4 linked regions of the Arabidopsis thaliana genome follow. The protein of the gene in region 3 interacts with the protein of the main gene of each other region in a biochemical or structural test. Each region holds a gene or a part of one and is shown on either strand. Other genes may lie near its edges.

Region 1 (7,895 bases), on a different chromosome or scaffold from region 3:
ACTTGTTGCTGAAAGTGGATCAGAAGAAAGTTTTGGAGAAATTGGTGATCTTCTTCATCTTGAAGTAGGGTCTTATAATGATTTAGCCAAAGGTGATGCTGAAAGTGGATCAGAAGAAGGTTTTGGAGAAATTGCAGCAGAAACTAGTGATGATCTTCATCTTAAAGTAAGGTCTTCTAATAAGGCGTATAATGATTCCACCAAGTTGATGATAGTATTGTCCTCCACGGTGCTGGTTCTACTCGCAGTGGCTTCTTTCGTATTCGCTAAGAAGACAAAACTCGTGGCTGCTACTAAACCAGCCCCTGAGAGTAACATGGAGCTAAACTTGAGTCATGTGCCAGAAGAGAATCTGGTGAAAGAGAAGCTCTTTTCACTGAATTTTGAGGAAGAAGTTGATGACAAAATGAGTAACAGTTTCCAAAAGAAGAGCTCATGCCACAAAGAACCTCAAAGCAAAGGAGGCAAGAAGAATAACAACAATAGCAGTAGCAGCAAGTTGAGGAGAGAATCAATGGCATCTTCAGCATCAGAATACTCCATTGGCTCTTTTTCTTACGGAAGTTTCACAACATACGAGAAGATACCCATCAAAAGTGTGAGTACCATCAATCAATGATCACGTAAAGTACACGTTTTGCATCGTTTTAGTACTAACCCATTTTATATATTCACAGGGTAGAGAAGAAGAGGAGATGATTACACCAGTGAGACGTTCAAGCCGGATTAAGAACAACAAACCTTCTGGTTCTGGTCTATGATAAAGAGATAGACATTTCATTTCAATCATTGCATCACTATGCAATCTTTTTAGTTTCCTAAGAATTAGAATTAGCTTTATGACTCCTTAAAATCTTCTGATTTGTACCAAACTAGTTGTGATTCAATCCAAAGTTTGTTTCTTTGTGTCAGTCTCAGTCGTTTAAAGTAAAAGAAGAAACAAAAGCATGAGACTTTTTTTTTTTTTTTGGTAACAAAGCATGAGACTAAACATCACAAGACTCAATTTCTCCAGCTTCCTCCTTCAGATCGCCCCTGACCACCGTAACCTCCGTCTCCATAACCACCTTCACGACGATCACCTCCATAACCACCACCGTATCCACCTCCACCGCCACGGTTGTAACCACCTTGATCACGTCTACCTCTGTAACCACCACTTCCGTAACCACCAACCATACCACCGCGAGTACCACTACCACGAGCCTGAGCCTAGTTAACAGTAATGTTACGACCATCAAGTTCTTGACCATTCATTCTATCGATCGCAGTCCTCATGGAATCCTCATCTTTAAAAGTCACAAATCTAAACCCCTTAGACCTCCCGGTCTCACGATCAATGATGATCTGATCCAATCCATAAACCATATAAAGTCGAGATTTTTATGATACAAAGAGAGAAACAGAGCAACACAAAAACAGAGTCACACTTTAACGGACCTTGGAGTCGAAAACTTCACCAAACTCGTTGAAACACCTCTCTATAGACTGTTCATCGGTGGCCCAAGCTAAACCTCCGACGAAGCATCGATACTCGTTGTCTGCATAAGCCACGTCCAAAGATTTGAGGAAGATGATGACGACGACGGTTCTATATAGAAGCGCGAAACCATGGTTACGTTGATTCGGTGCTTAACATGCATTCAGAAATATGATTAGAACTGTGACCAAAACACTCTCTTGGACGCATGATTTGTGCCACGTCACCAGAATCGAAATAATCTTGCTCTGATCCGATGGTTTAGATTTGACGGCTTATTTTGTATGTGTGGGGTCTCACGAAGAGGACATGTGTTAGTTATATGATCTTGAACTGGAAAACACAGATACAAACAACATTTGTACTTTCGGACACGTTGGATTTATTTAATAGCGATGCGGGATATGTAACAAAAATTAGGTAGTGATGTAAATTTGTTATCCGACGAAAGATGAATAGTTCATTGCTTTTTCTTCCCGAACAAATATCCTCAATTATGACTTAACTAGCTCGAGGTTAGAGAAAACTTTTCTATGGAAATAACAGTAATTGGAACGATTAATAAAATCATATACGCAACTGTAGCATATGAAAATTAATAAACAGTTTAAGAAAATTTCACATCACTTGTTCATATATTTTGAGAAAACTTTTGAGAAATTTTTAGCTCAAGAAAAATTCATCTCTATTAATGTCTACTTAATCACTATTTTCTAAATAAACCATAGTGAGACTTTGAACTAACATAATCATTCATTTTTCAAGTAAAATTAAATAAAAAAACTAAATATTTTCATTCGATTGGCATTGTTTAAATTGAACATTCTACAATAGAGAATTTGTTTCTATCAATTTTAAACTAAACATATATCAAATTTTTGGATCATATCAAAAAAGCTAGAAAATTCAATATCATTGTTTTTTAAAAAGAATACTTCAACATCTTTACAAAATCCTATAACCGATAAATATTTCATCCAATATTTTGAAAGAAAGTTGCCAACATTTCACATGTTTTTCTAGTTGATAATTTTCTATTGTACTGTATATGATTATATGTTGTAATAAATTGTTTAAAATGCAAATGATTACAGCGGTTGAGACGGACAAATACTATGCAGATTAAACCGCTTTTAATTTACCAATCATAAATTAGAATCTATAATAATATATACTAAGAAAACTGCCGTAAACCAATCATAAACCATTTTTACATACAAATAAGATTGATCCACAACGATTTATTATCTACTTGAAAATAAAACACACTTATATTATCGATGAATTTATCTATTCTGATTGCCGTTACCATTCGAACCAAAAAATTCAGAGTATTTAGAAAATTTTAGCAAGAAAAGAAAAAGATTCCTTTATTCGGCCAAGAATGGTGAATATAGGACGTGAGATATATTACTCCTTATATATCCGAACATTAAATTTACAACAATAATAAAACAGGAAAGAAGGAAAGAAAAAATCCCAAATAGTAATTGCGGCAACAGCTTAGCTGGCTTATGGCGGGATTACCGGGAAAGTCAAACCAAACATTAAAACGACGTCACTTTACCCCACACTAGGTTTTAATTTAATCTAATTTCAAAATTATTAATTAATCAGATTTGTAATTAATAATAAATTAATTTCGAAGTTTCTTGCAAAGACGAGAGAGAGAGGAGTGTCACAGTCTACAGTTGTTATCTCAACAATCTCGATCTTCTTCTTCTTCTTCTTTCTTTCTCTCTCTAAAGATTTTTTTCACTCAACAAATCACTTTTTGTTTTGTCTGATTTTAAGGATTAGTGAAAAATTTCTACTTTTTCTTCTCATAAATTAGGATTTAGAGAGAGAGAGAGAAAGAGAAAGAGAGGTGCTTTAATGTCTGTGAAGGTAGGAGCTGTAATTGGATCCAGTAACAGAGCAAACCCAGTTCGATATCTGTCTCTTTCTTCCTCTCTAAAGATCGAAAGACGTTATTTTTATTAGGGTTGTTGAATTGGGTATTTTGCTTAAATCCTGAAAAAAATAGTCTCTGTCTCTCTCTGGGTTTGGGTGATGAGTGTTGATGGGTCATTGGATTGAGTTTGATAAGCAATGGTTGATCAAAGAAGAAGCGCATTGGGTTTTGTCTTGTTGTTGTTGTGTTTGGTACTGTTCTTCGACTGTGTTGTTGTTGGTCAAACACAGAGTCGATTCAGTGAGAAACTCATTTTGCTTAATCTCAGGTCTTCTTTAGGGTTAAGAGGAACAGATTGGCCAATTAAAGGTGACCCTTGTGTTGATTGGAGAGGTATACAATGTGAGAATGGTAGTATCATTGGGATCAATATCTCTGGGTTTAGGAGAACAAGAATTGGTAAGCTAAACCCACAATTCTCTGTTGATCCTCTTCGTAATCTAACTCGTTTGTCGTATTTTAACGCGTCCGGGTTAGCGTTACCGGGGACTATACCTGAGTGGTTTGGTGTTAGTTTGTTGGCATTGGAAGTATTGGATCTTAGTTCGTGTTCTGTTAACGGTGTTGTTCCTTTTACTCTTGGTAATCTCACTAGTTTAAGAACTTTGAATCTGTCTCAGAACAGTCTTACTAGTTTAGTTCCTAGCAGTTTAGGACAGTTGTTGAATCTATCACAGCTTGATCTCTCTAGGAACTCATTCACTGGTGTTCTTCCTCAATCTTTTAGCTCTCTGAAGAATCTGTTGACTCTTGATGTTTCTTCCAATTACCTTACTGGACCTATCCCTCCTGGTTTAGGAGCGTTATCAAAGCTTATCCATCTGAACTTTTCAAGCAATAGTTTCTCGTCTCCGATTCCTTCAGAGCTTGGTGATCTTGTCAATCTGGTTGACTTTGATCTCAGCATCAATTCATTGTCTGGTTCAGTTCCTCAGGAGCTAAGAAAGTTAAGTAAGTTGCAGCTAATGGCGATTGGCGATAACCTTTTGAGTGGTACTTTACCAGTAGATTTGTTTAGTGCTGAGAGCCAACTGCAAACTTTAGTTTTGAGGGAAAATGGTTTCTCTGGTAGTCTACCTGATGTGTGCTGGTCGTTGCCAAAATTGCGGATTCTTGACATTGCTAAGAACAACTTCACAGGACTGCTGCCATATTCTAGTTATGATTCAGACCAGATAGCTGAAATGGTTGATATCTCTTCGAACACATTCTATGGAGAGCTCACACCGATTCTTAGACGGTTCAGGATAATGGACCTCTCTGGTAATTATTTCGAAGGTAAGCTTCCTGATTATGTGACCGGGGAAAATGTGTCTGTTACAAGCAATTGCCTTCGAAATGAGAGGAGACAGAAGCCGTCAGCAATATGTGCAGCATTCTATAAGTCTAGAGGATTAGATTTTGATGATTTCGGACGTCCTAATTTGACACAACCGACATCGAAAAATGCTTCTTCAGGGATAAGCCGCAGAACAGTAATTATATTGGCAGCAGTGGGTGGTGGAGTTGCTTTTATTCTTCTTTTTGTTATCTTGCCAATTATTCTGGTTCTATGCATGCGCCATAGACGCAGAGCGGCACAAAGAGGAAATAACGACAGGCCAAAACCTGCCGGGGAAGCTTCACAACAACCACCTAAAGGAGCACAAACCTTTGATTTGTCACGTCTTGGAAATGCATTTTCTTATGAGCAGCTTCTTCAGGCAACAGAGGAATTCAATGATGCTAATCTGATAAAACGTGGTCATTCGGGGAATCTGTTTCGTGGTTTCTTGGAAAATGGTATACCCGTTGTTATAAAAAAGATCGATGTGCGGGAAGGTAAAAGTGAAGGCTATATATCAGAACTGGAGTTGTTTAGTAAGGCTGGACACCAGAGGCTGGTTCCCTTTTTGGGACACTGCTTGGAGAATGAGAGCCAAAAGTTCTTGGTATACAAGTTTATGAGACACGGTGATTTGGCTAGCTCTTTGTTCAGGAAATCCGAAAACGAAGGTGATGGATTGAAGTCTTTGGATTGGATAACAAGGTTGAAAATTGCTCTTGGTGCAGCTGAGGGACTCTCTTATTTGCATCATGAGTGTTCACCGCCTCTAGTTCATAGGTACTACTCTCCTGCTCAGCTTCTCGTAATATAATCTTGATATTTTTTAAAGCATTGACATAGCAAGACTATTGGAAGTTGTTTTGTTGATTCTGTTTTTAGTATCATATAACCTTTCATGTTCATAATTAGTAAGATCTATTCAAGAATTGTTAGTGTATAGTTTCATAGATGGAGAAGCCCAATGACATCACCTGCTCCTAAATTACTTCTTGTTGATCTATGCTCTATTGCCTGATAAGAAGAAAAGCGAGAGAACTCATGTGTGTGTTTGTGTTCAATGTTAAATAGGGATGTACAAGCAAGTAGCATACTTCTTGATGATAAATTTGAGGTACGTCTTGGAAGCCTAAGCGAGGCATATGCTCAAGGTGATGCTTATCAAAGCAGAATTTCTCGTTTACTTCGATTACCGCAGTAAGTGCTTATTACATTAACAAACTCTCTGGTCCTTTTCTGTTTTACTTTGATTCCCTAACATGACTCTGTATGTTGTCTTGGCACCTACTAATGCTTCGCTGTCTCTTCTTTTCCTATTCTTGCAGATCGAGTGAACCATCTTCTTCAGGTATACACTTAGGAGAATAAAAATTTCATCAGGATATACCATCTCCGATTAACCGATAGACATCTGATTGGTTTATTCTTTTCAGGTGTAACAAATGCAATATGTTCGTATGATGTCTACTGCTTTGGCAAAGTGTTACTTGAGCTAGTAACGGGGAAGCTCGGGATTAGCTCGCCAGACAACGCACTTGCAAAAGAGTACATGGAAGAAGCTTTGCCATACATCAGCACAAACGAGAAAGAACTAGTAACCAAGATCTTAGACCCGTCATTAATGGTGGACGAAGACCTTCTAGAAGAAGTATGGGCAATGGCTATCATTGCAAAGTCATGCCTAAACCCAAAACCAACAAGAAGACCATTAATGAGACACATTGTGAACGCACTTGAGAACCCACTGAAAGTAGTAAGAGAAGATACCAACTCGGGTTCAGGCTCTTCCCGGTTAAGAACAAACTCGTCGAGAGGGTCTTGGAACGCTGCTATATTTGGGAGCTGGAGGCAGAGTGCGTCGGATGTAACAGCTGTTCAAGCGGGAGCAACAACAAGCGGTGGTGGTGGTGGTGGTGGTGGTAATGGTTTGAGAAACTCGGGGTCGCAAGGAAGTAGCGGAAGGAACAATAACAACAACGGGAATTCATCGTCGTCGAGAAGACGGCAATCTAGTGAGATTGTACCGGAACCTGCTGCTTATGGAGTAGTAGAGGATAATTTATGATTCGTTTCATCGATTCTTTTGTGTCGATAATAACAGAGGCAAAGAGAGTCCTCAAAGGTAGCATAATGTTAGATGGGAGGAGGATTTGTTTTTTCTTTCTTTTGTTTTGTTTTTGGGTTTAGGATTGGTGGGAGTTAGAAATGTTAGTTCACTCTTTGTTTTTGTTTTTTGGTTCAAACGTGGATTTTGTAAATTGTAAAATTCTTGGAGATTGGGTTTTGTTTTCGGTTTCTTTCTTATTGAAAGACCAGAAAACAAAACAAAACAAAAAAGTTGGGTTACATTTGTTTCAGTTCCACCATTACTTATTATTCTTGTATCTGATTTCGTACGTGTGAATTTTGTTGACTATTTCATTTGCACGTGGCAAGCTTTTGATATGTATTTGGACAAAAAGTGAAAGGAAAGATACTTCTTCCTTTTGTTGGATCTGATTTCGTACGTGTGAATATTGTTGACTAGTTCATTCGCACGTGGGAAGCTTTTGATTCATATTGGGACAAAAAGTAAAAATAAAGGTTCTACCGAGAATTGAACTCGGGTTACTGGATTCAGAGTCCAATGTCCTAACCGCTAGACCATAGAACCATTATGTTTAGAGACGTAAACTTATAATATATATACGTATGAACCAAAATGTTGAAGTTGTAGGATTTTTGGTCTGAGTTACCTGTAATTATATTTAATTATTTCATACACTGAACTTAATTTGAAAATTACAACATTACAAACAAAAATTGAAATTCTAATGAGTTACTTTTGCCAAATCTATCATGGTTAGAAACTTAGAATGATTAAATAGCTAAACTATATCCCAATATATAAGATGTTCTTATGTATTTTATTTTTGTCCATTATATTAAAACTTAAAATAAATTTTCATATTTTCTAATCATTTCTGTTATATGCAATATTTGCCACGATTGGTTGAATTGTTTTAAATAAATAAATAATATTTTGTAAAGAACATAAGTTTCTTAATATATGTGATTTAACTAAAACATCTTATAAGAAATTGGACAGCGGAATATTATTTTCTTGGGTTATTTTTGCCAATTCTCATTGATTTAAT
Region 2 (7,556 bases), on a different chromosome or scaffold from region 3:
ACTATATGAAGAGTTGAAATTATTTACACAATAATCAAATACTTATCTTATTTTCATATGATGCTTGACACAAGCATATAAGTTTTTCACAAAAGAATTTGATTAACAATTATTGTTCTTCACAAATTTTTGTATATTTGTAATCATGAGCTTATATACTGTCTTCTGTTTTCTATCATGGACACTACTTCGTTTTGTCTTCCCGTGTTAGGTGAGACAGAAGAATTTATTTTTTTATATATTTGAATTCTCTGAATTTGAAATATGATCTTTTCAGCTGGTGGAATTTTTTGAAGTGGCGAGCTTATCATTTTCTGAATATGACAAAAAAAAGTCTTATTTACTGTAGTTATAAATAGTTTAACTAATTAACACAAATGCGAATCGAAAATTTGATATATGTGACGACGAAACAACTAAACTAGTACAGTATAATCATATAATTAAAGATTTGATGCATTTGAAAATGTACGCGTTTGATAGCATATCATAATTAATTTGCACGCCTATATGACATATAGCGTTTGGACCAATTTTAGATGTAATAAATCAAAGAACACATCGAACACACATAAGTTCGATTTTCAACGTCTAAATTTACGAGAAGCAAAACAAAATTATGTATAATAATAAAAAGACTAATATTACCACTCACAATTAGACACGATATATAGCAAAACAAGATACATAGTTTTGCTCAAAAACAAAACATGGATGATAATCAGTAAAATGCGGTGCCTACCAAGTACCAACATACAATTATAATGATTATTGATAAATTTTTGAAGTTTTTGTAACAATATACGAAACATCGTACTCATGCATTCAAACAAAAATGGGACAGGCTGGGTTAGATAACGTGTGAGGGATGGATTTCTCTAGAGACGAAGCCAAATATAAGGCGTGACTTTAAATGATATCACACTACTGTTTCATCTTATAACAAATCAAAAGAGATGAACTAGTGATGTAATTCTATAAAATTTACCACTTAGATGTACTGTGTATCGGCTAATTAATTGGTCATAAACTATTACTTTCAAATGAGTTCTACGTACTATTACTATAGTTTAAAAGTAAAGTAAAATCATATTCAATCAACTTAGGAACTCAAATTAATATTGTCTAATTAACACAATGTCATCATCATATAGAGATTTGACTGCACTAATTAAGTTATCATGGACACTTTCTTTCTGAAAATTCTCATTTTCTCACTCAAATAATAATTTCATTCTATAAATAGATAATGAAATACACACACATCTATCATCCACCAAAAATATCATCCACCACTACCCACGAAGTAAGAAAATTACAGAGAAAACGGAATATCTTTTAAGTAGACCTTAGCCTTTTGCTTTATTCTCTTGCTTTATGTCTTTCTTGTTTCTGTAAATTCACATGTTACACTTAGAGGAGAGCGAGGTGTTGGTCCATTTTACCTTTTGCTATGATCAGATATAGAAGATAGCAAAAACATTAACTCAAGACAAGTTCACATGTTTGTAAAATTTTACGTAAATTTGTTTATTAATTGTGTTAGAAAAATGTTCACATGTTGCTACTATTGACTTGCCTCCATCATCTTCTTTGTCCCATTTGATGTACTCTTAGCCCCATGCCTCTTGGATGCCTTTTTTACCTTTTAATTTGTTCTTATATAATATAAAATATTAGCTACCCTTTTTTTTGTTATTCATGGAACAATTATTTGCATCAAATATAGTAATTTAATGGAATAATATCAAGAAGATCCCATTTATCTTTGTACCTTATTCTCCATGTGAACATATAAAGCTTGTTATCAGGTTATTTGTACATGTAATATCTAAGGGTGTTTACTGATGATGATCGGATAAACTCGAGGTTTGATTTAGTCAAATATAGTTCTTTTCTAACTAAAATCCCAACCTCACAATTTTGATGTTTTTCAGTAAATATGGTCATTAATAAGTTATGAATTCGCTAATTAATAGAAATTTATAAGAAAACATATATCCAACATTTATGGATATATGAAAAGTTAAAAACAAATGATATAAAAAGTACAATTTTATAGCTGGTGCACTGAAAAAGAAACAACTTTTCTTACCATTAAATCCAGGGAGAATGGTATCATTTTCAATTTTGAAAAAAAGCTAAGATTCGCCTAACTATTATTGTTTTCCTCTGAAAAGACTTTAAAAGTAATCTTTACCGTATAAAGTACAGAAAATGAAATGAACTCGTGGACTTCAATGTTTTCAATTTTCATGAGTCTTTTGTTTTCCTTCAATTTCCAAATAAACTTATATATATATACTAATCAATCAAAAACAATCCACTCAAAATGTGAAACTATACATGTAGAATACTTGATGTAACATGAACAAACAATCAAAATATTGTAGTTAAAAAAATTTACTGTTGATTTTGATCAGTAATATGTGTAATTAAAAAGTGATAAAAAGTCAAGTGGTTTAAAATTATCATAAGAGTAACATATGGACTATGGTTCAAATACTTTCATTGCAATAACAATTATGTATAGTTAGCTACTATATGAATGTCTTAATACATTGCAATAACTTACATTGGAGATTAGTCTATATACATTTATATATTAAAAAATTAGAGTTGTGATCTATATAGTTCTCTATGTTATCATTTTACATTTTCATAGTTGAACTAACTTTTTATTATTATTATGTTCACGATATCTATACTTTTGTGGTTTAAGCTTTTCTTAGTATTAACAATCAAGAACTACTATTTTATAAATACAATGGACAAGATTTTTTCTTCAAAACCACAAGAGAGAGTCATTTTCATTTTCTTCCTCATCTCTCTCTCTCTCTTCTCTCCAACCAAACATGGTCTCTCCACTCACACTCTTTCTCATCCTCTTCTTCTTCTTCCTTTCTTCTGCACTGTCTTCCTCCTCCTCAGAGCTCGACATTCTCCTCGATATCAAATCCTCTCTCGACCCTGAAAAACGTTTCCTCACTTCATGGACTCCCGACGCCGACCCTTGCTCCTCTGGCTCCTTCGACGGTGTCGCGTGCGACGGAAACCGCCGTGTTGCTAACATCTCTCTTCAAGGAATGGGTCTCACTGGAACTATCCCTCCTTCAATCGGTCTTCTCACAAGCTTAACCGGTTTATACCTTCACTTCAACTCCTTGACCGGTCATATTCCTAAAGATATCTCAAATCTGCCTCTCCTCACCGATTTATACCTCAATGTCAACAATCTCTCCGGTGAAATCCCTCCTCTAATCGGGAACTTAGACAATCTTCAAGGTCGGTCTATTTATGCATGTGTTCTTTGTTAACCTCACTCACTATAATTCATTTATTGCAGCTAAAACACCTTAAGCGGGTCAAATTTGGTTTATTAAAACTTAGCTAAAAAGAGTTTAGGTCTTGAATGGTGTAGATTTTAGTTTTTTTTTTTAATCATCCATTCAAGTTTTTAGATTTTTGAGTCTCCTAGAAACTAGGGATACTCTCTATTGTCTCCTTCATCTTTCACTCTTTTTTATGCAAAACTCAAAAACAATTTTATTTGGGGTTTTGAAACTAAAATGTAAAACTCAACAAAAATAAGGGCAAATATAATTGCATCTATATATTCATAACACTTTTTTTTTTTTTTTTGCAGTTATACAGTTATGTTACAACAAGTTAAGTGGAAGTATACCGACACAGTTTGGTTCTCTTAAGAAGATAACTGTCTTGGCTTTACAGTATAACCAACTCTCCGGCGCCATTCCGGCGAGTTTAGGCGATATTGATACGTTAACGAGGCTTGATTTGAGCTTCAACAACCTCTTTGGTCCTGTTCCGGTGAAACTCGCCGGTGCTCCTTTGCTTGAAGTTCTCGACATTCGTAATAACTCCTTCTCCGGCTTCGTTCCCTCTGGTAATAATTTATTTTCCCTCAAGATTCATAAATTCTTCAGATTCTAAACCGGTTCAGTGTTGACCAATCCGATTAAACAGAACCGGGAACCAATCCAAAACCGGATCGTGGAGAACTTAAACCATATCAATTCTAAACCGGTTTTTACAACCACATTAAAGATGTTTTGCTGACTTGTTTGTTTCTTGATTTTTATGAATTATGAAGCTTTGAAGAGGCTAAACAATGGATTCCAGTATTCAAACAATCACGGTTTATGCGGAGATGGTTTCACTGATTTGAAAGCTTGCACCGGCTTAAACGGTCCGAACCCTAACCGACCAGACCCAACAAACCCAACGAATTTCACAACAGTTGACGTGAAACCAGAATCAGCAGATTTACAACGAAGCAATTGCAGTAACAACAATGGCGGGTGTTCATCAAAATCCTTAAAGTCTTCACCTTTAGGAATCGTCATGGGTCTAATAGGATCAATCCTCGCAGTTGCAATCTTTGGCGGTTCAACATTCACATGGTACAGACGAAGGAAACAGAAGATTGGAAGCAGTCTTGATGCAATGGACGGTAGGATTAGTACTGAGTACAACTTCAAAGAAGTTTCTAGAAGAAAAAGCTCTTCTCCATTGATCAGCTTAGAGTACGCAAGTGGTTGGGATCCGTTAGGACGAGGACAGAGCAGTAACAACAACAGTGCATTGTCTCAAGAAGTCTTTGAGAGCTTTATGTTCAATCTTGAGGAGATTGAGAGAGCTACTCAGAGCTTCTCTGAGATTAACTTGTTGGGGAAGAGTAATGTCTCTTCAGTTTATAAAGGTATCCTTAGAGATGGTTCTGTTGCAGCTATCAAATGTATAGCTAAATCGAGCTGTAAATCCGATGAATCCGAGTTTCTCAAAGGGTTGAAGATGCTGACACTGTTGAAGCATGAGAATTTAGCGAGGTTGAGAGGATTCTGCTGCTCGAAAGGACGTGGAGAATGTTTCCTTATCTATGAGTTTGTTCCCAATGGTAATCTTTTGCAGTATCTTGATGTGAAGGATGAGACTGGAGAGGTTCTTGAATGGGCAACTCGAGTTTCCATCATAAACGGAATCGCCAGAGGTTGGATTCTGCTATTCATTCTTTCGTAAACTAAACTCGGTTTTTTGTATGTGAAATCTGATTTCTTTTTTTTCTTCCTTTCAGGGATTGTGTACTTGCATGGAGAAAATGGGAACAAACCTGCAATAGTTCACCAGAATCTATCTGCAGAGAAGATTCTCATTGATCACTGGTATAATCCTTCTCTTGCAGATTCCGGTCTTCACAAGCTTTTCACAGATGATATCGTTTTCTCGAAGCTCAAAGCAAGTGCGGCAATGGGATACTTAGCTCCTGAGTACATAACTACAGGGAGGTTCACTGATAAGAGCGATGTTTATGCATTTGGTATGATTCTGTTGCAGATACTGAGTGGTAAAAGCAAAATCAGCCATTTGATGATCTTACAAGCTGTAGAGTCAGGAAGACTGAATGAAGACTTCATGGATCCAAATCTTCGAAAGAACTTCCCGGAAGTAGAAGCGGCTCAGCTCGCTAGACTTGGTCTTCTCTGCACTCATGAATCCTCAAACCAAAGACCATCCATGGAAGATGTTATCCAAGAACTGAATAATCTCGCCGCGGATTATTAGTTTCCCGTTTAACATGATTCTTGCTTTTGATAGTCCAAGAATATAAAGCATACCAAGGTTTCAGACTATCACCATTCCCCTGATGTTAACTCTGTTTTAGGTTCAGTATAGGGGATCCGAAAAACTCGGTTCATGATGTAACAATCTTATCTCCTTGTAACTGTAGCTGATGTACTTAGGCTGTAAAAACAATCACTTTTCAGACGTTTTAAGTGATCTTGTGGGAAGTTTTTTTCCAGACATATCTTAGCTGCACAAAACCAACCATGTGACATTGTCTTCATGTATGCCAAGGAATTGCAGAATAGGTTTAAGCCCTTGAAAATATATTGCTGCACATTCGTTTTATCTACAATGTACTGGAAACTTCAATGCTATCTACAAAGAACTCATGGACTCTTCCATCGAGCTCAATCCAACTACAACCAGGAATTTTCTCTATCTTTCTTTCCTTCATCATCGTTCTAACTCTACGAACATCCTTCCACATTCCAAAACTAGCATACATGTTAGAGAGTAGCACATATGAGCTCGGGTTATATCCAGCCTGCAAAATAAGGTGTTTTGCGACAAGCTCTCCCGTTTCAAACTCCTTGTGGTGACTACAAGCGGTGAGAAACGTTCTCCATATGACATCATTTGGCTCAACAGGCATTTCCTCTATTAAGTTTTTGGCTAGCTCTATACTTCCGGATCTCGATAGTATGTCTACCATACAACCATAGTGTTGCAATCTTGGTTCTATCTTGTGTTTTCTCCTCATGAGCTCAAAGCAGAGAAGGCCTTCCTTTACTAACCCAGAGTGGCTGCAAGCATTTAAAACGCCAACAAAGGTGATATCGTCTGGTTTTAAAGAGAGTCTCTCAATCTGCAAGAGCATATCGAATGCAGATTCCCCTAGACCATGAATAGCGAGCCCACCAATCATAGCATTCCAGTGATCAATGCTTTTGTTTTCGATTCCCTCGAAAACCAACATGGCGTGTTGTATGCTTCCGCATTTCGAATACATATCAATGAGAGCAACACCGAGTTTTCCACCTAGATAGAATTGTTTCTCCACGATGTACAAATGCATATCTATGGCTTTGGATAATCGGCCAAGCTGAGCAATTGCAGGCAGAACTATTACCAAAGTCGTATCATCGGGTAACAAGTGACTCTCCTTTTCCATGTCACTAAATATTTCAAGAGCTTCCATGTGATACTTGTTTTGAACATAACCAGCCATCATAGAATTATATGCCACAACATCTCTATGAGGCATTTGGTCAAACAGAGTCTTAGCGTGATGAACAAAACCTAACTTTGCATACCCATCAATCATGGTAGCCCAAGTAACTACATCTCTTCTCGGCATCACATCGAATAAACCCTTAGCATCTTCGATTCTTCCGTGTTTTACATATCCATCTATCATTGAGTTCCACGAAATCAAGTCCTTCTCAGGCATATCAGCAAACAGTTTAGACGCTATGTCAACTCCATCTGATGTCTGAGCATAACCACTTATCATAGAGTTCCAAGATATCAAATTCTTCATCTCCATAGGCATCAAATCGAACAATTCACGCGCGGATACAATCAATCCACATTTGACATACCCATCAATCATGGAATTATAAGAAACAGAGTCTCTCTTCGGCATTCTATCAAACATCTGGCGTGATAAACCTAAACAACCACATTTCAGATACAAGCCAATCAAACAATTCTGTAGAAACAAATCCGACCAAAGTCCAGTTTTTTTCAAAAACCCATGAATCTGCATTCCTCCTTTTACAAAACCTAACCTCGAACACGCTTTAAGAACAAGTGACAGTGAGAATTTGTCCACGGAAACCCCATTCTCGAGCATCAAACAGAGCAAGAGCAGAGCTTGTCTCGGATCCTTTCCATGAGAGTGAGACTTGATCACGGCGTTCCATAAAAATGGATCCTCCACCTCTCCAAATGAAAACGAACATACGTGA
Region 3 (9,119 bases):
TTCCTTTTAATTCTCGCAATATGCAAAAGTATGAGTCTTTTTACCCGAGAAAATAGCAGTTTTCCCGAGAAAATAAACCAGAGGTCCCTAAAGCTAAAGCTAAAACTAAAAGCTAAAGTAGTGTGGATTTTCTAGATGCCAAGTTTCGTTTTTTGAGCCTTTTAAGCTCTTTTCTGGATTTCGTTTTTCTCGTTTCGCTCTATTCTTCGCCGAGCAAGTAATCATTGCCGACAACCCCCAGAAAAATCGTAGATTTCTTCAATCGGCGATTTAAAAAATTTGAACTTTTTCTTTAAAAGCTTTGAGCTCTTTTTTCTTCGGATTATTTTCAAAATGGGTCTGTGTTATTCAGTAGATAGGACTACTGGGAAGGAACCTGGAGAAGCAAGCTCCACCGCCACTACGGCGGAGACTGTGGAGGAGAGATCAGGCTCCGGAAGATGGCGGCGGCCGAGAGATTTAAAGGGTGGCGGCGATATCGAAGGGATTCCACAGGTTTTGGGTCGTTTGGTTTCGAATGGTTCAAGTAAGATTGCATGTCTTTACACACAGCAAGGCAAGAAAGGGACTAACCAAGACGCCATGCTCGTCTTTGAGGTTCGTTTCTTTTATCTTTCCAAAAATTCATCTTTTTTGCAACCCATTTGGATTTTATCAATACTCAAGAGGACAATTTCAGGGTATTTTGGTGGAGAAATGTTGTTCAATGTATGAGGAAGCTACTTGATTTGTTTGGATGTGTTTTGTTACAGATCAAATGGATCTTCAGAACATGATTGCATTAATCTTTTGTTGCTAGTGCTTAGTAAGAGAGAGAGAAACTTGGAATGATTCATCACTTTTCTGGGACCATTACAAAGCTTAGTGCTTTGAAGATTGAGGTGGCTTTGTTTTGCCATTTGTGTTGTTCTTGTGCTGTCTTGAGTCTTTGACCTGTTTCTACAGGGACCACTAGTTACTTGACACTTAGATTCTATTTCTGCTTACTTCCTTTTGTGTTACATTCACATATCAAGACAAGTTTCTAACTTATGAAAACTACTTCACTTTCCAGAACTTTTGTTCGAGAGACGATACAGTGTTTTGTGGTGTATTCGATGGACATGGACCATTTGGTCATATGGTTGCCAAGAAAGTCCGAGATACATTGCCCTTCACACTCTTAACCCAGTTGAAAATGACCTCAGAGTCAGATCAAAGCAGCTTAGTTGGTGCCAATGGTTTTCAGATCAAATGTACAGAGGAAGAAGAAGTGCAGACAACTGAGTCTGAACAAGTGCAGAAAACTGAGTCTGTTACTACTATGGATGAGCAATGGTGTGAGTTAAATCCAAATGTGAACAACGATGAACTTCCGGAGATGTATCTGCCTCTTAAACATGCGATGCTCAAGTCTTGTCAGCAGATAGATAAAGAGCTGAAAATGCATCCAACTATTGATTGCTTCTGCAGCGGAACAACTTCAGTCACTTTGATCAAGCAGGTTCTCAGCTTAGATCTGCTTGTAACCAAAAGACCATCATCGATTGTATATTAATTGCTGTAATTGTTCATAATGATTTCTTTTAGGGTGAGGATTTGGTGGTTGGAAATATTGGTGACTCGAGAGCCGTTCTTGCCACAAGAGACGAAGACAATGCTTTGCTCGCTGTACAATTAACTATAGACTTAAAACCGGATTTGCCAGGTACTTTATTACAAACCATGATATTAAACTCTGAGAGAAGCCAGAGGCAAAAGTTTCTCAACTTTCGCTTTCTATGTGTACTGTCAGGTGAATCAGCGAGAATCCAGAAATGTAAAGGAAGAGTCTTTGCATTGCAAGACGAGCCTGAGGTAGCTCGTGTATGGTTACCAAACAGTGATTCACCTGGTTTAGCAATGGCTCGAGCTTTTGGAGACTTTTGTCTCAAAGATTACGGATTAATCTCTGTTCCAGATATCAACTATCGCCGCCTAACGGAACGAGACCAATTCATTATTCTTGCTAGCGACGGGGTAAATTAAATCTTCAGTTACTAGCCACTAAATTGCAAACATTTTCCAAATCTTTAGAGCTGAAAAATGTTGTGTTTTCTGAATTGTATTAAAGGTATGGGATGTGTTGTCGAACAAAGAAGCTGTTGATATCGTTGCCTCAGCTCCTAGTAGAAGCACAGCGGCTCGAGCTCTAGTGGACACAGCGGTACGATCATGGAGAATCAAGTACCCAACTTCCAAGAACGATGACTGTACAGTAGTCTGTCTCTTTCTACAAGATTCATCAGTAGCCATGGAAGTCTCAACCAATGTAAAGAAGGATTCACCCAAAGAAGAGTCTATAGAGAGTGTCACTAACAGCACAAGCAAGGAGGAGGATGAGATTGTCCCCGTTAAAGACGAGAAAATCCCTGAGAGTTGCGGGATTGAGTCGAAAATGATGACAATGACACTTGCGGAATGTATCTCGGTTGCACAAGATGATGAAGAGTGGTCTGCTTTGGAAGGATTGACGAGGGTTAACAGTCTCTTGAGCATTCCAAGGTTTTTATCTGGTGAGCTCAGATCAACTAGTTGGAGAAAATGGTTGTGACTTTTTTTTGACTTAAGTGATTCTAAGTTAATGCCGACAAAAACACTTCATATCACGATGTTCCAACTTTTTTTCTTCTTCTCTTGGAAGTGATTTGCAGATATATAATCTTTCTTGTTTAAATTAGTCTTTCAGACATGTGAGAGATTGGTCATGTTAGCTGTAGATAAAGATCATAGTGAATTGGATCTTTTCTTGGATACTCTCTGTCTTTATATTTAATTAACTCTTATTACTACATGTTAGACACTTGGAAATTGAAGGAAGTGGCTTTTACGTTTTAATTATTTATTTTTGTTTTTGGAGATGGTTGGGTTTTTGGGAACTTTTTTTTTTATGGGTTCCACTATATTCTCTGTCTATTCTCAGCATAATGATCAAAGAAGGTTGCTTTGATTACAAAACAGAGCTTAACGGTAACCTAAGTTTACATCATTAATTTTGTAGTGGCTATTTGAAAGAAATTATTTTCTCCTTATTTGGAGATGTAACACTCAAGTGCTTTAATAACTAAAGTGCTTTGAAAAAAAGACACATGAACCGTTAAATTGACTTCGAAGAGAAGGAAAATTGATTGAAACCAACTTTTCTTGGTGTCACTCGTGTTCCTATTGGCACAATTCTCAGTACACATTTTTTTTGATGAGACAATTATGAATCTTGTCTCATAAGGAAGCTACTTTAATCTGTTTCTTCTTTCTCTATGATTTCACTTAAATATCAAACTTCAAGAACTCATGTCTCTTGAGGAACAATATGGTGGGTTCCAACACCGTAACCGCTACATCGCGGTTGCTCTTGATCTGTTTTGCTTACTCATTCACTGTCTTCTCAATGATTTCATCAGTGACTGATCCTCGTGATGGTATGTGATGACTTATGTTTTTTCCTTGCGTTGAATACGTTCGTGGAAATGATTGTAATTTACTTGTTTTGTTGCCTTTTATTAGCGGCGGCTCTGCGTTCTTTGATGGATCAATGGGACAATACGCCGCCTAGTTGGGGAGGTTCTGATGATCCTTGTGGAACTCCTTGGGAAGGTGTATCTTGCAATAACTCCAGAATCACTGCTTTGTGAGTGTTCCTTAATCATTCACTCGTGTTTCTGTACACATGTGTGAAAAAGAACAAAAAATTAGAGCACTTCTCTTACTAATTTTGGTAACGTACTGAGCAAGCAAGTCTTTTGTGTTCAGGGGTTTGTCAACAATGGGTCTCAAAGGAAGACTTAGTGGAGATATTGGAGAACTAGCTGAACTAAGATCATTGTCAGTCTCTTTAGATGAATCATCGATGAATACAAGAGAAAAACATCTTCTTTTTTTTCTGACCTGAATTGGCGACTTTGTGTTGTTTCAGGGATCTTTCCTTTAATCGAGGACTAACAGGTTCACTTACTTCTCGGTTAGGAGACCTGCAAAAGCTAAATATCCTGTAAGAATCTCTCCCGCGCAAACAAGCTAAAAGTGATCTCGTAGTTCTTGTTCTTTCTCTTCCTTGTGTACATATCTAAACAGTTGTATTGGTCTTTTCAGTATTCTTGCTGGTTGTGGCTTCACTGGTACCATCCCAAATGAGCTTGGCTATCTCAAAGATCTATCTTTCTTGTAAGAAAATAGCATTTTGCAGTGTTTGATATTGTCCTCAAACCAACTCATGTTTGATGAGACTTGCCACTTTGGTTCCACCATGTTTTCTCAGGGCCTTGAACTCGAACAACTTCACGGGTAAAATCCCGGCGTCTCTAGGAAATCTCACTAAGGTTTATTGGCTGGATCTTGCGGATAATCAGTTGACAGGACCCATTCCAATTTCATCAGGCTCAAGTCCTGGTCTTGATCTTCTTTTGAAAGCCAAACACTTGTGAGTAATTTTATTTTCTCTGCAGACATCTTCTTCAGCTTCAAGTACCTTTCTTCTGATGCAAATGTTATAAAAACTGCAGTCATTTCAACAAGAATCAGCTCTCTGGGACCATTCCACCAAAACTTTTCAGCTCTGAGATGATACTGATCCATGTGTAAGTCAAATACACTTCTAATAATATTACATATTTGTCAAGCTTACGGTAACTCATCGCAACAGATTTATTTCAATATTAGATTATTCGATGGAAATCGATTCACAGGAAGCATACCTTCCACTTTAGGACTCATTCAGACACTAGAGGTTCTGTGAGTAACATATCATCACTATGTCCTTAGTTTCATGTATCTTCCCTATCTTCAAAAAGATATAACTCTTGTATTTGCAACAGTCGGCTTGACAGAAACACTTTGACCGGAAAAGTTCCAGAGAATCTCAGTAATCTCACAAACATCATTGAACTGTAAGTGTTGCCAGAGTTATGATATTACTATATAGATCATATTAGACATCACTTATGAATGTATACATCTTTTTTTCTGTCTCTCAGGAACTTAGCTCACAACAAGCTCGTTGGATCATTACCAGATTTGTCAGACATGAAGTCCATGAACTACGTGTAAATTTCTCACCAACAGAGAACGTCTTTATCTACATTTATGCGTTTGTGTTCTCTGATTAAATGTGATGTCTGTTACAGAGATCTCAGCAATAACTCATTTGATCCATCAGAGTCTCCTCTCTGGTTCTCAACCTTACCTTCACTGACCACACTGTAAGTGCTGCTCTGCTACAGTTTACAAATCAGAACATTCACATATGGGAGCTCTCTAAATATGTTACTATTTTCTTGTATTTAGTGTGATGGAATATGGATCTCTTCAAGGACCACTACCTAATAAGCTCTTTGGGTTCCCACAGCTTCAACAAGTGTAAGTTTCAGCTTTTAGTCTCCACTGAAATTTGGTTACAGCTTTAGACATCATCTAATTGCTGAATTGGATTTGCACAGGAGACTGAAGAAGAACGCATTCAATGGAACACTGAGCTTGGGAGACACAGTAGGTCCAGAGCTCCAACTTGTTGATCTACAAGACAACGACATATCCTCTGTAACACTAAGCTCTGGATATACCAATACATTAATGTACATAGCTTCTTTCTTCTTAAATGTTCAATCAAACTGTCTATATCAACCTATTAAAGAAGCTCTCTCTTGTTGCAGACTCGAAGGAAATCCTGTATGCACAACAGCTCTCTCCAACACAAACTACTGTCAGATTCAGCAGCAACAAGTCAAACGAATATACTCGACCAGTCTTGCTAACTGTGGAGGAAAGTCTTGTCCATTAGACCAAAAGGTCAGCCCTCAGAGCTGTGAATGCGCCTACCCTTATGAAGGCACACTCTACTTCCGAGGGCCTATGTTCAGAGACCTGTCCAATGTGAACACATACCATTCTTTGGAGATGAGCTTGTGGGTGAAATTAGGACTCACTCCAGGCTCGGTCTCTCTACAAAACCCTTTCTTCAACAATGATGATTATCTTCAGATACAGTTGGCACTTTTCCCACCTATGGGCAAGTATTTTAACAGAACTGAAGTTCAGAGAATTGGATTTGACTTGAGTAACCAAACATATAAACCTCCTCCTTTGTTTGGACCTTACTACTTCATTGCATCTCCCTACACATTCCCAGGTAACATTACATACGAAGCTTATACACCTTTTTGGAGTTAAACACATCGTCTAACAATCGAATAATTTTTGGCAGCTGATGGTAACGGACATTCCTTGAGCTCTCGGATGGTCACTGGGATAATAACTGGTTGCAGTGCTTTGGTCCTGTGCCTTGTTGCGTTAGGAATATACGCAATGTGGCAGAAGAGACGTGCAGAGCAAGCTATCGGTTTGAGTAGACCATTTGGTAAGTCCGATGTTCTAACAGGTGAAGTTATCTTAGAAACACTACCATTTTAGATTCTCTGAGGTTCACCTGAAAAAAAAGAAACTCTACATTAACTTACATGATAGATTTACTGTTAAGTAGAAGACTGACAATGATATTTTGATTCACTCAGTTTCATGGGCATCAAGTGGAAAAGACAGCGGTGGCGCACCGCAGCTGAAAGGGGCACGATGGTTCTCCTACGAAGAACTCAAGAAGATCACGAACAATTTCTCTGTGAGCAGTGAGCTGGGTTATGGAGGTTATGGAAAGGTGGGTTTTTGAAAGATCGATCTTGAAACTATCTAGGGCTTCACTTTCAGGGTTTGACAAGTAACGCTCCTCTGTTTCTCTCTGTAATCTCCGCAGGTGTATAAAGGAATGCTTCAAGATGGGCACATGGTGGCGATCAAAAGAGCACAACAAGGATCAACACAAGGAGGGCTCGAGTTCAAAACAGAGATTGAGTTGCTTTCTCGAGTTCATCACAAGAACCTAGTTGGGCTTGTCGGGTTCTGCTTCGAGCAAGGCGAGCAGATTCTAGTCTACGAATACATGTCCAACGGATCACTAAAAGATAGCTTAACCGGTACTGAAAAATCTGGCCTTTAGGTGCTCAATAAATCACAAACACAAAACTTGACCATTACGTATTGTTTTTAGGGCGATCCGGAATTACGCTGGATTGGAAAAGAAGGCTGAGAGTGGCTCTAGGATCGGCAAGAGGACTCGCATACCTCCATGAACTGGCGGATCCTCCGATCATCCACAGGGACGTGAAATCAACTAACATTCTTTTGGATGAGAATCTGACAGCCAAGGTTGCTGATTTTGGTTTGTCCAAGCTGGTTTCAGACTGCACCAAAGGCCATGTTTCAACACAAGTTAAAGGAACATTGGTAAGTTTTAGATAAATCAACGAGTCATATTGCTTTCAATTTTTAGGAACTTTTGTTTCTGATGATTCAATGGCAGGGATATTTGGACCCAGAGTACTACACAACACAGAAACTTACAGAGAAGAGTGATGTGTACAGCTTCGGTGTTGTAATGATGGAGCTGATCACAGCGAAACAGCCGATAGAGAAAGGCAAGTACATTGTTAGAGAGATCAAGCTTGTAATGAACAAGAGCGACGATGACTTCTACGGACTGAGAGATAAGATGGATCGTTCGTTAAGAGACGTCGGAACTCTGCCAGAGCTCGGCCGGTATATGGAACTAGCCCTGAAATGCGTAGATGAGACGGCAGATGAGAGGCCAACGATGAGTGAAGTGGTCAAGGAGATTGAGATTATCATCCAGAATAGTGGGGCGAGTAGTAGCTCCTCTGCATCTGCGTCGTCATCCGCTACAGATTTTGGTGAGAAGCTTTTGTACGGAGGTACTTTGAAGAAGAAAGAAGCAAGAGACGGAGATGGAGGCGGAGCGTTTGATTATAGTGGTGGCTACTCTGTTCCGACCAAAATTGAGCCCAAGTAAATATCAACATCTCTTGTGAGATTATTTGTCGTTACTTTTTGTATGAATGAATGGAAAAGTCATATTGATGAAAACTTGTGCGAGTATTGTTGACCTGAAACACTGTGAGGCTAGGCCCATTAGTAAATCGTGATTACTAAAAGAAAATCTTAGTAGTTGGGCCAAATAAATTAGAACTGTAAACTGTCCATGTATAGACGTCATTTGCCTTTTCAGCCCAAAAACGGTAGCGTATTAACATGAGCCACCACTGCCACTGGACATATACACATTTAGCCCATGTTTTTAGTAATCGTGTTTATTAGTAATTGGGCTCAAGTAAATCAGAGTAGTTGATATTATTAGGCCCATAAAAGCCCAAAACGGAAAGCCACCTGAGAAGCAGTGGGGACGCAGATTCCTATAAAAAGCAAAATGCGTCCTCGGAAAGGAAGAAGAAGAAGAAGTCTATCTCACGAGTTCCCGTTTCGTGAATTTCTCTCTCTCTGTGTGAACAAAGACGAAGAAGACGAAGTAACACTGATAGAAACCCTAGTTTTTTTTTTAAATCCGTCGAGGCGTAATGTCGTCGGAGCTGCAGATTTCGCCGGCGATTCACGACCCGCAAGGTCAAGAGAAGCAGCAGCAAGCCGCCGGAGTCGGGATTTTGCTTCAGATCATGATGCTTGTCCTCTCTTTTGTACTCGGTCATGTCCTTCGCCGTCATAAGTTCTATTATCTACCTGAAGCTAGTGCTTCTCTTCTAATTGGTTTGTCTTCTTCTTACTCCTCCTTTGCATTGCGATCGTCCTTTTCGTTTTCCATCGATTGTTTTGTTTGATTCCTTGTGAAATTTGTGGAATTGTAGGGCTGATCGTTGGTGGTTTAGCGAACATCTCGAACACGGAGACTAGCATAAGGTTCGTTGAACTTTTTCTCATCAGTTTTTTTAGTATTTTCTCAATTATTTATTACTATTTTTATGTCCTTTCCTCCATTGACCTGGAAACTCAAACGATTGTAAATTACTCACTGATTACATACACGAATACATGTTTATATGTGTGTAAGTGTTCTTCAATGCTAATCTATTTTGTTTCTTCTGCAGGACATGGTTCAATTTCCACGATGAGTTCTTCTTTCTGTTTCTGCTGCCTCCCATCATATTATATCCTTAAAATCGAGTTTGTATCTGCCTTTAGTTTTACTTACGCCTCTGTGTAACATAATCTTTTCAATGAATCTCAACTAGGCAACAAAATATGTTGTT
Region 4 (7,292 bases), on a different chromosome or scaffold from region 3:
GGGCCCGTCTCAATCGCGGAGCGAATTGCGCGGCTCTCTTGTCAATGTATATATTGATGTGAACACTTTTTAAATATTTTTACAAAACACTTATAAAAAAAACGAAAATGTTGTTTTGTAAAAATATTACAAAACAAAATCCAAATAAAATTTAATTATATACTAGTCAGCAAGCAGAATCGTACAGCTGAGATTGAAAGCTCTCTGCTAAAATGGGCCACTAAAAGTTTATTTTTTGGCTATTGGTGGGTCTCACTTGTTACACTGACGTTACGGTGACACTGAAGGACAACCACTGACGCCAGACAGGCAACACCTGGCATATATGTGGATTTATACGCTGACCTGGCAGTGTTGACTCCTTGTTTTAAATGACACGTCATCTGAGTGTGAAAGAGACAGACGTCGCGTGAATTTTGCGGGACTTTTTTTAACTCCCTAGACCGCGTGTGAAGTGTACGCTCCGGTGAATGGTGAGGCCCATCGTTAGTTTTGGTCGTGTTGCATTTAATTCGTTTCATAATGTTCTTTTGTAGACTTTAGTGGTGAATTTAATTATTTTGTAAGGTGCGATGACTTTCTTGACAGTGGAAATTTTTTCACGTTTTCACAAACATGCATGATTGTTTATTTTCAGTTCGATGATTAGTGACCTGTATTTTAAGTGACAGTGAACAGGAATCTCGTTTTTCACCACAGTTAATTGGGATGCGATTCTTGTTATCTAAGTTAGAATCGTGGATGCGATGATGAAGTTTGTATTTTCTATTGATATTGTTTTACCCAAACCCAAGAGTCGAGAATGAATTTTTATGTCGTTGCTATTTATTCTGAACTTATGTCGTAAATGTTGGGATCAATAATTTAAGGTGACCGAGTCGTGACCCACATGAGTGTCGAGTGATTATTACAGCTTCGGTGAAAACGAGTGAAAAGTGAAAACGCAAACATTATTTTTAGGATCTTCTCTTTTGCTCACGAAGAATTGTAGTACTATTAGATAATCTCATAATCCTGAATGAGTGTTTTTAGTGGGATCACAATCCGAAATGACTATTTAAGCGTTAAGATTCAAAACAACTTCACATATATATAACCTTCAATGACTTCAATTTAATATATAGTTTGAAATTTAGTGTGAAAATCAAAATAATCGAACCTCGTTAATATTTTTAGTTTCATTCATGTTAAGTAATTCAAGCCAATTTTCCTTTTATAGTTTCTCTGCATGCAAATTTATATTTAAAGTGCGTGCATGTTGCATCACTTCAGTAATATGGTAGAATGCAAATTCGTTAACCGTCTCTATAGTTCATGACTTCATGATAGCATAAGAGATAAAATGAATTCAGGGATTTATGTGTAATCATTAAGGAATGAGAAAGTCACATAAAGCATGTAAAATAATTTTTGGGTCGTTATTTTTTTTTACTACGATGAATCTCTGCTCTCTTTTATATATTTTAGTCATGACTGAATAATGACAGGCAATTTTAATAATTTAAGATAAGTATGCGGTATGCCATGATCGGTAGACGGTAGCTCAATACAATTCCGACACAGAAACTAGTTTTTTTTTGGGTATTTGATAATGGGCCTTTTAGCAATTTTCTAAAGCCCAAATTTATTATTCTTGCTTCACGCAATATTGTTTAAAGCCCAATTTAGAGAACATGATTTCCATTCCGAATTCGTCGCCCAGTCACTTATTAGATTAATAGATTGCATTGCATTGCTTGTGCTTTCAATTTACAAATTGTCTCCCAACTCCATCGACACATCTCTTTTTGTGTATATAAGATTCAGACTTGTTATATTTTTTTTATAAATATGTTATTAGCATCTTAAGTTAAATTGATTTTTTATATCTGCATTAAGGATTACACGACTATATTTGCGATTGTGTGTTGGTTAAAATATAATTTAGGATTGTCTTTAACTACATTTAGGATTATATGACTATATTTGGTTAAATATAAAATCTAGCTGTGATTATTAGTATTCAAAAATAAGTAGCCTAACCAATTAAAACAACGGCTATTGGGGCAAATTAGAACATTTTAGTGTGTCCAAAATATAATGGTCATTAGGTCATATTCCTCCTAGCTTCATCGCAGCATAATTGAATGATTGCCTTATTTAGAAGAGCTTTTCCACTTTCCCAAAATCTATGTGGGATCTTTTTGTTTTGACCTTCATTTTTCTTGTTTACCATTTTTAGCTAAATTATTTACGATTACAAAAGATATCAAAAGTTGGATCATAATACAATTTATAGACTTACTGTAGAAAATTCGTATGTACAAGTACAACAAATTCTTCATAATAAATTTTGAAAATTCTATTACAAATGTTGTAAGAAATAGAATTTGAAATATATATAAACTAAGGAGAAAAAAAAAGAGAACATGCATTGCTCTAGTCAGAGTGGACCAACATCAACGAGATAAGATAACATAAAAACCAACTCACCATAACTAAAAACATCCCAAGAGATCCAACGATTCATATCAAACACAAAAACATCGAACGATCAGATTTAAACCATCTCTGGTATCTCCAAAACACAAACACTTTTTTTTTTCTTTTGTCTGAATGGAACAAAAGCATGCGACATCTCTGTGTCTTTATCTTCTCTCTCCTCTTCTTGAAAAACTGAACCTTTAATTCTTTCTTCACATCTCCTTTAGCTTTCTGAAGCTGCTATCTTCAAGCTCAAAACCAAACCCTAGAAATAAAATGACGGCGACACAAATGCTGCTTCATCTTCTTCTTCTTCCACTTCTCTTCCTTCACTTCAGCAACCAAGTCATGGCAGAAATCACCGACGAGTTAGCGACATTGATGGAGGTTAAAACAGAGCTTGACCCAGAAGACAAACACTTAGCTTCATGGAGTGTTAATGGAGATCTGTGTAAAGACTTTGAAGGTGTTGGTTGTGACTGGAAAGGACGAGTTTCTAACATATCTCTACAAGGGAAAGGCTTATCTGGTAAAATCTCTCCGAACATTGGAAAGCTTAAACATTTGACGGGTTTGTTCTTGCACTACAATGCTCTTGTTGGAGATATTCCTAGAGAACTTGGTAACTTGTCGGAACTTACGGATCTTTATCTCAATGTTAATAATCTCTCCGGTGAGATTCCTTCAAACATTGGGAAGATGCAAGGCTTGCAAGGTTAGTTCTTTTTTACTTTAATTTTAATCTTAATCATTGATTAAACTTAAAACCTAAATTTAGCATTGTTAGATCTTTGGTTTCTGCAAAATTCTTGTCCCAAGATTAATCAATGTTCTGTGGAGATTTGAAACCTAGAAATCTGAGCTCCTTGTCTTAGGGGTTTTAGTTACTTCATTACTATCTCTGGTAGTTGAAATTATTTGAATTAGATGATTTTGGAATTTAATGCTTTAATGATCTGTCTTTAAAACGTCCTTTTCATGTCTTTTTGTTAGGATTTTTCTTTTTGTAATTTTCCTGTAAGGAAGAATAGTCAAGAACTTTTTAAGATTCAAACTTTTAATTGGAACCATAAATGGCTTACTGGTCCCAAAATATGGACTTGAATTGAAGATAACTTGTACTTCTCTTGATTAATTTTGTTTATTTAGATAATTGATTCACTTACTTTCAAAAGGCTTTATATTTGAGCTTTAATTAGCAGGACCAGGTTTCTAAATCTAGAATTAGTTCTAAGTTAATGTAAGTCAAAGCTAAGCTTCATTCCTTTTTTGGTCTATGTTGTTGTGTAGTTTTGCAGCTCTGTTACAACAATTTGACTGGAAGCATTCCTAGGGAGCTTAGTTCACTGAGGAAGCTGAGTGTTCTTGCTCTTCAATCTAACAAACTCACTGGAGCTATACCTGCGAGTTTAGGAGATTTAAGTGCTCTAGAGCGGCTAGATTTGAGCTACAATCATTTGTTTGGTTCTGTACCAGGCAAGTTAGCTAGCCCTCCTCTGCTTCGAGTTCTCGACATCCGCAACAACTCCCTCACTGGCAATGTACCTCCTGGTTAGAAAACTGATTCACTATATGATCTTTGAAACTAACTTTGCGTATTTTGTGAAGTGTTTCTCATTTTGGTTTATATTTCTTTCTCTGTTGTACCGATTTGACAGTACTGAAGAGATTAAATGAAGGTTTTTCGTTTGAAAACAACTTGGGACTATGTGGAGCTGAGTTCTCGCCGTTGAAATCTTGCAATGGCACAGCTCCTGAGGAACCTAAGCCATACGGTGCAACCGTGTTTGGTTTTCCATCCCGGGATATACCAGAATCAGCTAATCTACGGTCACCTTGTAATGGAACAAACTGTAATACTCCTCCAAAATCTCACCAAGGTGCAATCCTTATTGGTTTGGTTGTCTCGACTATTGCATTGTCTGCTATTAGCATCCTCTTGTTCACGCATTATCGCAGACGCAAACAGAAGCTTTCAACCACTTATGAAATGTCGGACAACCGTCTCAACACCGTAGGAGGAGGTTTTAGGAAGAACAATGGTTCTCCATTGGCCAGTCTTGAATATACTAATGGTTGGGATCCACTTTCAGACAATAGGAATCTCAGTGTCTTTGCTCAAGAAGTTATCCAGAGCTTTCGATTCAATCTTGAAGAGGTTGAAACTGCTACACAGTATTTCTCAGAAGTGAATTTGCTTGGAAGAAGCAACTTCTCTGCGACTTACAAAGGAATCTTGAGAGATGGTTCTGCTGTAGCGATCAAACGGTTTAGTAAAACAAGTTGCAAATCTGAAGAACCTGAGTTCTTGAAAGGACTCAACATGTTGGCGTCTCTGAAACATGAAAACTTGTCAAAACTTAGAGGCTTCTGCTGTTCAAGAGGCCGTGGAGAATGTTTTCTCATCTATGATTTTGCTCCTAATGGAAATTTACTGAGCTATCTTGATCTCAAAGATGGTGATGCGCATGTTCTTGATTGGTCCACGAGAGTATCCATTGCTAAAGGCATCGCAAAAGGTATGAGTTTTATTTATGCCGAACCAATTTTGTTAGCGTTCTTGATTCATTTTTGTTTATGTGTTTGATGTTTTGTGTTTAGGGATTGCTTATCTACATTCATACAAAGGAAGCAAGCCAGCATTGGTTCACCAAAACATCTCAGCGGAGAAAGTTCTAATCGACCAGCGATACAGTCCTCTACTCTCAAACTCAGGCCTCCACACACTTCTCACAAACGACATTGTCTTCTCTGCACTCAAAGACAGTGCAGCAATGGGCTACCTCGCTCCAGAATACACCACAACCGGACGTTTCACCGAGAAAACCGATGTCTACGCTTTCGGGATTCTTGTGTTTCAGATAATCTCCGGGAAACAGAAGGTTAGGCATCTTGTTAAGCTTGGAACTGAAGCTTGTAGGTTCAATGATTACATAGATCCAAATCTTCAAGGAAGATTCTTTGAATATGAAGCCACAAAGCTAGCTAGAATCGCGTGGCTATGCACTCATGAATCTCCCATTGAAAGACCATCCGTGGAAGCTGTAGTTCATGAGCTAGGTAACTGTAGTAGCTGTCTCTGAGAACTCTCTCGAGGCAAATGTGTAATGTGTACCTTAGGAATCAATTAAGGAAGGGTTTGTTAGTCACCTTTTCCTGTGTTTAGGGTTAAGAAAAAGGTGCCTTTTCCCTTCCCATTAACGTTTAAAAACTGTTCAACGTGTTGTACTTTATTGGTTTGTATGATTTGTGTTTATGTTAAGCTCTTCAACCTTAGAAGAAGACAAGACAAGTACATTACTTTTAAAAAATTTCGGTAGATGGAAAATATTTATGGTACTTTGTCTTCTTTTTTTTTTATAACTTTCTGAACCAATTTATTGTCAATAATTCAATATAGAAAAAAAATAACGTATAACATTTTTTTTTCTGATATTGATCAAATCAATATCAAAAGAATTGATTTGTTAGATGGTTTTGATTTAGATTTGGATATGAGCTTTAACTTTTAAGTCTTTATTAGTCATCTAGATCTAGATACAAATTTATAAATATAAAGTCAAAGGTTAACTATTAGCATTGGCCACCAGATTCGAATAATTTACATGATTTTTCTAGACTTCAGGATTAGATTTTGGACCTAGTAAATTTTTAGAATTACTTGAGTTATTTGAAAGAAATAAATTAAATTATTAGTTGTCCACAAAAGACAGAAAAAAATATCAAATTATACTTTTCATTGGTCAAAAAAGGATTATACCAAATATCTAAGGAAGGAAGATATTGTTGATATAGCTAATTAATCAGTAACTAATCCTAACCGTCCATTTCTCCTCAAACCGCTTGATCTAACGGTAGCAAAAGGCTTCGATCACATAACACCATTTGTTTCCATAGAAACGAACGAGTCGTGGAGATTTATAAGCGAGACTTCTTCTTCTTCTTCTTCTTCTTCGAAAGCTTGAGAGTGCTGCGTAAAAATGGGTAATACGTATTGTATCTTAGGAGGTTGTATTGAACAAGCTAGCGTTGGTGTGGTCGAACGTTGGGGTCGATTCGAGCATATAGCTGAACCGGGATGTCATTTCTTCAACCCTCTCGCCGGTCAATGGCTCGCCGGAGTTCTCTCCACTAGGATCAAATCTCTTGATGTCAAAATTGAAACCAAAACTAAGGTTCGTGATCACTTATTCCTTTTGATCCTTTGCGAATTTTGGTTAATACTGTATGTGGTGAGATTCATGTAAATTAGGCTTATTGTCGTTGTTGTTTGTAGGATAATGTGTTTGTGCAGCTGGTTTGTTCGATTCAGTATCGTGTAGTGAAAGCTAGTGCTGATGATGCGTTTTATGAGCTTCAAAACCCTAAAGAGCAGATCCAAGCTTATGTCTTTGATGGTAATTTTTTTGCTTCTCTGTTGATGTTTTTTGTTTCTTTGTTTGAAGAAGCTCTGTTTTGATTCTTGATTTGTTCTTGTATGTTTGTTTTTTGAATCATAGTGGTTAGGGCTTTGGTCCCAATGATGACGCTTGATGCTCTTTTTGAACAAAAGGGTGAAGTTGCCAAGTCTGTTCTTGAGGAGCTTGAGAAGGTATAACATCTTGTTCCTTCACTATCTCATTCATTTGTATGTTTAGAGACTATTTATTCATAATAGGATATAAGATATCTGTTTTGAGATTCTTGATGTTTTGTAGTGATCCTGCATTTGTTGAGCTAACTAATAGGTGGATTATCAAGTAGGCATGTTTGGATTTCATAAAGAAAAGTTACAACGTTAAGTATATGTTTGGTTTTGTTCAAGACTATGTTTTCATTTGTGAGATTCT

The links.
Region 1: the proteins of AT1G79620 (region 3) and AT2G16250 form a complex in vitro, tested with the Arabidopsis thaliana proteins (one large-scale study listed by BioGRID).
Region 2: the proteins of AT1G79620 (region 3) and AT2G45340 form a complex in vitro, tested with the Arabidopsis thaliana proteins (one large-scale study listed by BioGRID).
Region 4: the proteins of AT1G79620 (region 3) and AT5G51560 form a complex in vitro, tested with the Arabidopsis thaliana proteins (one large-scale study listed by BioGRID).

Annotation. Positions count from the first base shown.
Region 1 is NC_003071.7:7,038,610-7,046,504, reverse strand, and holds AT2G16250 (Leucine-rich repeat protein kinase family protein), read left to right. Parts: upstream 1-3,150; 5' UTR 3,151-3,571; coding exon 3,572-5,538; intron 5,539-5,829; coding exon 5,830-5,955; coding exon of another isoform or gene 5,956-5,959; exon of another isoform or gene 5,960-6,083; coding exon 6,084-6,106; exon of another isoform or gene 6,107-6,191; coding exon 6,192-6,823; downstream 6,824-7,895. Other genes in the region: AT2G16270 (uncharacterized protein), read left to right, coding at 1-598, 678-761.
Region 2 is NC_003071.7:18,688,884-18,696,439, forward strand, and holds AT2G45340 (Leucine-rich repeat protein kinase family protein), read left to right. Parts: upstream 1-2,780; 5' UTR 2,781-2,855; coding exon 2,856-3,285; intron 3,286-3,646; coding exon 3,647-3,907; intron 3,908-4,114; coding exon 4,115-5,011; intron 5,012-5,095; coding exon 5,096-5,583; 3' UTR 5,584-5,842; downstream 5,843-7,556. Other genes in the region: CRR4 (Pentatricopeptide repeat (PPR) superfamily protein), read right to left, coding at 5,933-7,556.
Region 3 is NC_003070.9:29,956,384-29,965,502, reverse strand, and holds AT1G79620 (Leucine-rich repeat protein kinase family protein), read left to right. Parts: upstream 1-3,197; 5' UTR 3,198-3,328; coding exon 3,329-3,437; intron 3,438-3,522; coding exon 3,523-3,646; intron 3,647-3,768; coding exon 3,769-3,840; intron 3,841-3,931; coding exon 3,932-4,006; intron 4,007-4,107; coding exon 4,108-4,179; intron 4,180-4,273; coding exon 4,274-4,435; intron 4,436-4,517; coding exon 4,518-4,592; intron 4,593-4,674; coding exon 4,675-4,746; intron 4,747-4,829; coding exon 4,830-4,901; intron 4,902-4,988; coding exon 4,989-5,057; intron 5,058-5,138; coding exon 5,139-5,213; intron 5,214-5,298; coding exon 5,299-5,370; intron 5,371-5,450; coding exon 5,451-6,139; intron 6,140-6,214; coding exon 6,215-6,367; intron 6,368-6,521; coding exon 6,522-6,661; coding exon of another isoform or gene 6,662-6,673; exon of another isoform or gene 6,674-6,757; coding exon 6,758-6,977; coding exon of another isoform or gene 6,978-7,000; exon of another isoform or gene 7,001-7,051; coding exon 7,052-7,287; coding exon of another isoform or gene 7,288-7,302; exon of another isoform or gene 7,303-7,363; coding exon 7,364-7,870; and 2 more. Other genes in the region: AT1G79630 (Protein phosphatase 2C family protein), read left to right, coding at 334-597, 1,055-1,483, 1,570-1,687, 1,775-1,998, 2,093-2,572; NHX6 (Na+/H+ antiporter 6), read left to right, coding at 8,433-8,619, 8,718-8,769, 8,958-9,017.
Region 4 is NC_003076.8:20,943,068-20,950,359, forward strand, and holds AT5G51560 (Leucine-rich repeat protein kinase family protein), read left to right. Parts: upstream 1-2,608; 5' UTR 2,609-2,739; coding exon 2,740-3,178; intron 3,179-3,753; coding exon 3,754-4,014; intron 4,015-4,121; coding exon 4,122-4,982; intron 4,983-5,064; coding exon 5,065-5,546; 3' UTR 5,547-5,872; downstream 5,873-7,292. Other genes in the region: AT5G51570 (SPFH/Band 7/PHB domain-containing membrane-associated protein family), read left to right, coding at 6,444-6,638, 6,740-6,860, 6,963-7,054.